2 linked regions of the Mus musculus genome follow. The protein of the gene in region 2 purifies or fractionates together with the protein of the main gene of each other region. This does not show direct contact. Links are inferred from orthologs where the notes say so. Each region holds a gene or a part of one and is shown on either strand. Other genes may lie near its edges.

Region 1 (3,649 bases), on a different chromosome or scaffold from region 2:
ACACTGAGCAGAGTCCCTGGGCAGAATGTGAGCATCGGTTCTAATTTAGATTTTGCATCTGGTGGCAGAACCACTTGATGCGTCCCAGGTCACGATCAAACCTCTAGCACTGGGGCCCCCATCCCAGTGGCTCAGAGGGTTGGGGGAACTCACCACAGATGTCTCAAAGAATTCCAGGCCTTGACTCAGTGCCCATACCTGGGCCTGAGCTGAATCCACTGTTTGTCGGCCAGCCAGGTCTGTCTTAGTTCCCACTAAAACACCTGCTCAAAAGAAATAACCACAATATTAGGTTTTGAGGTGGCAGGGTGGCGGCAGAGAGAGGGGCGTGTGACACATCAAGTGACAGAAGCTGCCCACTTGAGGGAATATGTGCCAGCAGGGAAGGTCCCCCAAGGCCACAGAAGACAGACTGGTTTTGCTGTGCACAGGCAGCTCAGCTCAGCGCCGTCACACGTGGCTTCAAAAATATATCTATATTCCTCACCTCCTTAGGGCTGGAAGCACCAGGCAGGCCTGGATCAGGTTTAGAAGAGCATTTGTGCTAATTCTCAGCTCATGGAGCCAACATCGGACGTGGTCATTAATGCTAATCTCGGGCCTGGGCTCAGACTCAGGGACTCAGGTAATTGAGCTCCGTTCCCAGCTGCCTTGGCTGTGCTAATTTCTCAGTCCGTCTCTGGAGGCCGCTTTCCCTGGCCTCTAATGAGGAGAATTTGTTGATCTCACACAGGGATGAGAAAGAACCTGATTTAAAGCGTGCAGGAGTGACAACCGGGATGGAATGTAACTTGTACCCAGTGTAGAGGGGGAGATGAGGGATTCTTCCCTGGAGTTAGCTTTCTGGAAACATCCATTCGGAACACAGCGCCTTCCCTTCTTTTTATCTCAGCCCGCCCAGCTCTGCCTGGTGGGTGGCATTGTCTCCCCACCCCCATGCTCGGTAGGTTTTCGAGAACATTTAGAGGCTGAGCAAGGACGCTGAGGTCAGAGAGTCAGGGATTCAGGCTCCTGTTCTATTTCCACCATGGCTTGCACAGTGACCTGATGAGACCCTTGAGTTGAAGGACGGAGTCAGAGTTGGAGAAAGGCCCATCTACAGTTTGATACCTGGGAGGGAGATGCCTGAAGTCTGAGACCGGACCTTCTCCAACCACTTGGTGCAGCTGATGAAGGACTGTTCATTGGTCACATCATAGACAAGGCACAGGACGTTGGGATTCTCCCACTAAGCGAGAGACAGGAGAAGCCTGCTTTAGGGATGTGACAGGGACTCTTGGATGGGGACAGGGGTGGGGAGGGGGAGAAAAATGGGCTTCGGGGGGAGGTGGGTAAGAGAGGGGTGTGAGCTGAGAAACTGTCCCACCCACAGATGGCCACAGGTCACCACAGATGAAGGGATGCCAGGTGCAGTGGCACTCATGAGGGACAAGCAAGGGAAAGAGGAACTTGAACCTGGGTTGGGGGAATCCCTACTCAGAAGATGGCAGTGGCTGGCAGAGGCAGGCACCGCTCATCAGGAGCTGCCTGTCAATCACTGAGATGCCCCAGTCAGTAAGGTTGTCTGGGAGAGTCTCACTTTGTAGCCGAAGCAAACAGCTCAGAGAGGATGCTGACTGGGGAGGGTTGAAAAACGCTCAGGAAGGGCTATTAAAAACAGCAGGCTGGGGGGGGGGCATTGGGCAGCTACAAGGACTGACCAGCTTCGTAGCTCCTGGCACATTCTGGAGCTGGGGCTGACCATGATGGATGGGTAAGGAGGAACATCTATATTTGCCATGTGGCTCAAAGACCCAGTAGCAGGGATGCCCCTTAGAAGATCCTGCCTGGTCACTTCTGATGCTCCTGGGGCATCCCACCAGGAGCCCCACAGGGACAAGGGGTTGGGCGGAAGTGGGTAGTGAAGGAAAAGAAAAAAAAATCAGCACACTACTTGCCAACTTATCCAGCATTTCAGAGAACAGCTCCTTGCCGGCTGAGTCAAAAATGAAGAGTTCCTGGGACCAGAAAAGCTCGTGTCAGAAGAGAGTGCAGGGAGAGTTGGGCCGAGCTGTCCCACTCAGCTTCCCATACACAAGGTTTGCGTGGAGAGCGAGTGAGCATGCCCATGCGCGTGGCTGCCTTCACACGTGCGCTACCGTCTCCGATGCCCCAGAGAGATGGCGAGAACAGACCGGAGTGTCCGAGAGGCAGAGGTATAGGCTTCTGTCCACCTGGTGTGACCTGGGTGGCAGGTGGCTCACCTTGTCCAACCCCAAGCACAAAAATCGCGCGCGGGGGGTGGGGGGGAGGGGGAGGAGGCTGACTGCCCACCTGGCAAGACAGAATGCTAAGCAGGCTGGCAAGGGTCCTGGTGTCCAAAAGGCCACTCTGTACTTTGTTAACCAAATGGACTCTCAGAGCGTCTAACAATTCTTGGTAAAGGAGGTCGCTGAGGAGGCCTGGGGAAGGCGCTTAAAGTAGGACAGCCTGTCACTGCTCTGAGGCAGTGAACACGGGCTCTGTACACAGAGTTCCGAGCCTTCCCAGCCCGGGTGGAGACCCTCCCAGATGCTGCTGCTTGCTTGAAACCCCCTCAGAGGTCCCTGAGCCCCATCCTGGTGCCCAACCTCCTGCCTGGCTCTAGACCCTGAAGGGCAGCACTGCCTGCTCCACGGACTGGCCCTGTACAGTGTGGTTCCTGTCTCAGCCTTTCCTGTGGGGGGGGACTTCTGTGCCTTTCTTTTTGCTCAGATGTCTCCTTACACATCCGATGAATGCAGCCTGGGAGAGGCCAAACAAACATGACACGATGCTGCACCAGTCTCCCCCAAGAGCGGTGAGAGTCTTTGGAGGGACCCGGTTAAGAACTCAGATAAAAGATAACAAGTTCCTTTTGGTGAGGCCTGGCATCCCAATCCCCTCCCCGGTACCCTAGGCCCTCCCTCGAAGGTTCCCCGTGTCCTTGTTCCACGATTCTATTACCCTTGGAGTGAGGGAACCCCAGCTCACAGGAGCAGCCCCAAGTGACTTCAGGGCCAGGGTAGCACTCACCACACTGTCATTTGTGTCAAGAACTGGCACTGTCTTCACCACCAAATCCACTCCAGTTGTCTGCAGGGGACACCAAGATCACAGGCCTTAGGGGGCCCCACACTGGGGCAATCAGAATGAGCCAAGTCCCCACTTCCTTGAAGGAGGTGTTCCCAGCCAAGCAGAAGTCAGAGGCCGTCAGGACTTCCCAATCTCTTTAGTGAGAGTTTTGGTTTAAGAAAAGAGATATGTTACGTTCATATTTTTGTTGTTGTTTTAATCCCAGGTGGGAGATGTGGGACTGCTTCAGTCTGTCCTCAGCAGCTGACTGTGATTTGCCTCGTGCTCTGGTGGGGGCGCGACTTTGCCAGCTGAAGATAGTTTACCTTTGGAATTCTGGGGACTATTCAGAGGGTAGAAAAATACCATAGTCTGAGAGAGGAGGCTGCTGCTCCCTCTGTTCCTGCTCTCTAATGTCCTGAGAAAGGTCTTTCTCCAAGGAACTTGATGCCCCTAATCACCAGGAAGTAGTTTCTAATGATAGGGACTCACCCTTTCTCTCCCAACCTTCTTCTCTCCTGTTTAATGTTGGGGGCTAAGGGTGGAGAAGGGCGGTAGGGAAAAGAATCCAATAAAG
Region 2 (3,649 bases):
CACTTGCTTGCCACCATGCCACACAGCATGGATGGAGGATGTCGCCCAGGGGCCCACCAGCCATGCGGCCAGCCTGCAGTGGGAGCCTCCACAATGAACAACTATGTGCTGGTCAGATGGAAGGAGAAGTGGAGCAGCTTGAGCATGATGAAGAGATGGAACTGGGGTGGAGAGGGTAGCTTGTTAGGAGTGGCCAGACTCACCACCTGGGGCCATGATGAGGTCCTAGCCTAGCTGCCACTCAGGGCCATGTGTGAGTTTTTGGCTACACTGTGGCAGAGGTTGGTGTTGGTGTCCGTGGCTCATACTTCCACTAGAGAACATGGGGATGTCCTGGCCAGGGCAGCTGATGGAGGCCATGCAGATGTCCAGGGGCTGAGCATAACTGGCCTGCCTCTCACTGGATGTCCTGCTCTGGAGAACTGTCCCCCGCCCCCCAGAGGCAGCACTTGGGAGAGGTGGTCTACACCTTGCCCAGGTAGCACAGTGGAGCTGGACCTGCTGGCAGAAGTGAGTGAGCCTGCCCTGAGGGCATGAGTGTAGAAGAGCTGATCTCGTCACTCATCTGCCATGGGGTGGCACAGACACAGAAGTGATATACCCCACCCCACAAAGCTGCCTTCAGGGTCATGAGCTTGGGAGAGCTGGCCCTGACTCTACCAACTACAGCACTGAGGAGAGCAGGCCCTGCACTTCGCCTGAGCAGCACAGCAGAGCTGACCCTGGTGGCATGAGTGGGTGTGGGGTATTGGGGTGGGGGCAGTGCATGTGAGCCAGCCCAGAGGTCGAGAACTCGGGAGAGCGCCTTACCATTTGTCTACCATGAGGCAGCATAGGTGCAGGGTGAAGCCTTGCCTCCTTTGCAGCACACCGAGTGTGGCAGTCAGGAGAGCTGGCCCTGCCCCTGGTCAGGCGAAGCACTCGGGAAAGTGGGCCCTGTACCTCACCTAATCAGCACAGTAGTGCTGGCACTGGCTGAGGGGCAGTGGGTGAGCAAGCCCCAAGGACAGAGTGAGGAAAAGCTAGCCCTGCTACTAGCCCTCTGCCCCTTTTCCCCTTGTCACCTAAGGCAGTCAGGAATGCCAACCCTGGAATCACAAGGGAGAGTGAGCTGGCCCTGCCCCTTGCTGGCTGCAGCATTCTATAGAATGGGTCCTGTATCTTGCCTGGGCAATACAGTGGAGCTGGCACTTACGGTGAAGGCACAGGTGAGCCTGTCCCGGGGGTGTGAGTACTGGCCCAGCCCTCGCAGGCTGCAGCACTTAGGAGACTGGGCCCTGCTCCTTGCTGGGCAGCACAGTGGAGCTGGCTCTGGAGGCATGGGTACAGGTGAGCTGGCCCCTAGGGCACAAGAGCAGGAGGGCTGACCCTGCCTCCTGTTGTTAGCCTAGCCGGAGCAGTGCTGGAGAGCTAGCTAGCCCTGGTGGTGGGGATAAGGGAGAGCCAGTTTCCACCCAGGCCCAGATTTAGGACTCTGAATTGGTCCATTCCAAAATCTCTATCATTAGTGAATGGTTGGGAGGCGTGAAAGGGTCAGTCTACAGGATCTCCATGACACGGGGCAACAATAGGATAACCAGGAGAAGTTCTAATGACGATCCAATGTTGACGGTGTCACAGAAGTCAGAGATCTTGAACCAGATGAGTGACTCATTGCAATGACTCATTGCAAGAGATGTGTGGACAGAGGGGTAGACTGTGGGACACACTGTGACACACTACAGCTTCCATGATGAGATGTTTCCTGTGCTTTGTTTGTGTGTGTTTTATTGGGGGTGGGGTAGTTGCAAGGGTGGATATGAGGGGACTGGGGTGCATGATGTGAAACCCACAAAGAACCAATAAAAAGTTAAAAAAGAAAAACATATCTCCTTAGTATTTGGGGAGGAAACATCACTGAACTCCACTGTTAGGTCACATTCAGTAGAACTTTGTTGCTATCTATGGAAAAAGAAAAAACATTCCTCTTTTGTGAACCAGTGTCACTTGTACTTGGATCGAGGTGGAAGCTTCAGAATGAAAATGTGACTAGGCTCCAGACAGTGCAGGAGGAGAGGGGCGCTGCTGGGGGGGGGGGCCCAGAACTGTTAGACAAGTGCAAAGTCTTATGGCATTTGCAGATCCTAGCCATAGGTTCTGGAACTGTGCTACCTGATTTTACTCTGCAAGTACTTAAGCAGAATTTGGAACAAAACTAACATTGAGCAAGTTACAGTTTCTCTAGTGTTGGCTCCCATCCATCAAATGAGGTTTGTAAGAGGCTCTTATGTAACACCTTTTCTGTGTTAATTCCTTGGCCACAAGGGATAGACCTGCACTGACCAAAACAAATAGTGCAGAGAGCTCAGATACAGAGGCCATTTCTGAGATATCTGTGGGAAATCTGAAACCACAAATGTGAACCAGCTCTTCCCAGGGACAGAGATAAGAATATTACATGCGCAGGGCATAGTGCTGCATCCTGTATCTCAATGCTTAGGAGGCCGAAGCAGGAGTATCAGGTTGAAGGTCATCTTGAGGTACATTGTGAATTCAAGATCAGCTTAGCTACATGAATCAAACAAAAGGACTATTAGAGGCAATGCAGTTTGAGAGACAGATCCTGAAGAACAGATTGGGACAGGAAGTGTTTCCAGGGACCCTTCTCAGCACACTGTGGTTTGCAGTTCTAAGCAGCACTCACCCAAGCTTGCCCTTGGAGTTCTGAGAAACAGGCACGAGGAACTGGGTGACAGAAGGAGTTACATTACCTTGCATGAGCACCTCCATCGCTGTCCGAGGCTTAGACATCCGTCTGTCCTCCAACTCGCTGTCTGATTCATCATCCTCTTGGATGTCTATGTCTGAGTCATCATTGCCTAGCAGAAAGACCACAAGGCAGAGTAAGAGAGCAGGTCTTCCATTACAGTGTAACCTCTTCTGCCTCCTATGGCTCCAGTGCAAAATCATCTGCCTTTCTTAGTTCTCTTTTCATCCATTAGATTTTATGAGACTCCCTGGATTTATTCACAGGTACTTCGTGAAATGTTAATGTAGACAATAATATGCTGTATTTGCTTTGAGCAATTTTTCAAAGTGAAAAGAACATGGACCAGGTGTTTTCAAAGCATTATGACAGTCTGAAATTTTTACAAAATCGAGTAGCTGGCTGTCAAAGTGGAAGTCCTGGTTAACGGGGGAGAAATCCACTCTGTTCTTTGTCAGGCCATATTGCTAATTTAAGAGCCTTGATCCTAACAAAGATAGAAGTGGATGTGAAAGAACAAGGCGGGTGGGATGGAGGTGAGGGGAGAGCCAGGCCTGGGCTTCAGAGGAAGCTGTTCTGAGACAGCGCTGAAGTGACATTCTTACTGGGGAAAATTCTAGAATAAAGGCATACATACGTTGATGGGGTTGTGGCTCAGGGCTAACACATGTGCTTATTTATTTCATTATTTTTCCTGCAAAGCTCTGAGTCTAATCCCTAATACCACATACACAGACAATCAATACTTTTCTTCTAGAAAAAAAAAATTTTTTTTTTAAGTAAATTGTATCTATTCATTAGGGGAGGCATTCAGGCATACACTGCATAAAAGGCTATTTTTAGTGCCATCATTTTAAATATATTTATTTTAAATATATGACACACTGTTGCTTTCTTCAGACA

What was found. Proteins that work in one complex are often made in the same cells at the same time.
Region 1: the proteins of Cluap1 (region 2) and Ift27 purify together in Homo sapiens (affinity purification with mass spectrometry; 3 studies listed by BioGRID and IntAct, with this or other methods). This does not show direct contact. The link is inferred for Mus musculus from reciprocal best matches to the Homo sapiens genes CLUAP1 and IFT27.

Annotation. Positions count from the first base shown.
Region 1 is NC_000081.6:78,164,037-78,167,685, forward strand, and holds part of Ift27 (intraflagellar transport protein 27 homolog), read right to left. Parts: intron 3,094-3,649; coding exon 3,034-3,093; intron 1,998-3,033; coding exon 1,938-1,997; intron 1,229-1,937; coding exon 1,111-1,228; intron 264-1,110; coding exon 154-263; intron 1-153. UniProt on the Homo sapiens protein: Small GTPase-like component of the intraflagellar transport (IFT) complex B that promotes the exit of the BBSome complex from cilia via its interaction with ARL6. Not involved in entry of the BBSome complex into cilium. Prevents aggregation of GTP-free ARL6.
Region 2 is NC_000082.6:3,932,916-3,936,564, reverse strand, and holds part of Cluap1 (clusterin-associated protein 1), read right to left. Parts: intron 2,859-3,649; coding exon 2,751-2,858; intron 1-2,750. UniProt on the Homo sapiens protein: Required for cilia biogenesis. Appears to function within the multiple intraflagellar transport complex B (IFT-B). Key regulator of hedgehog signaling.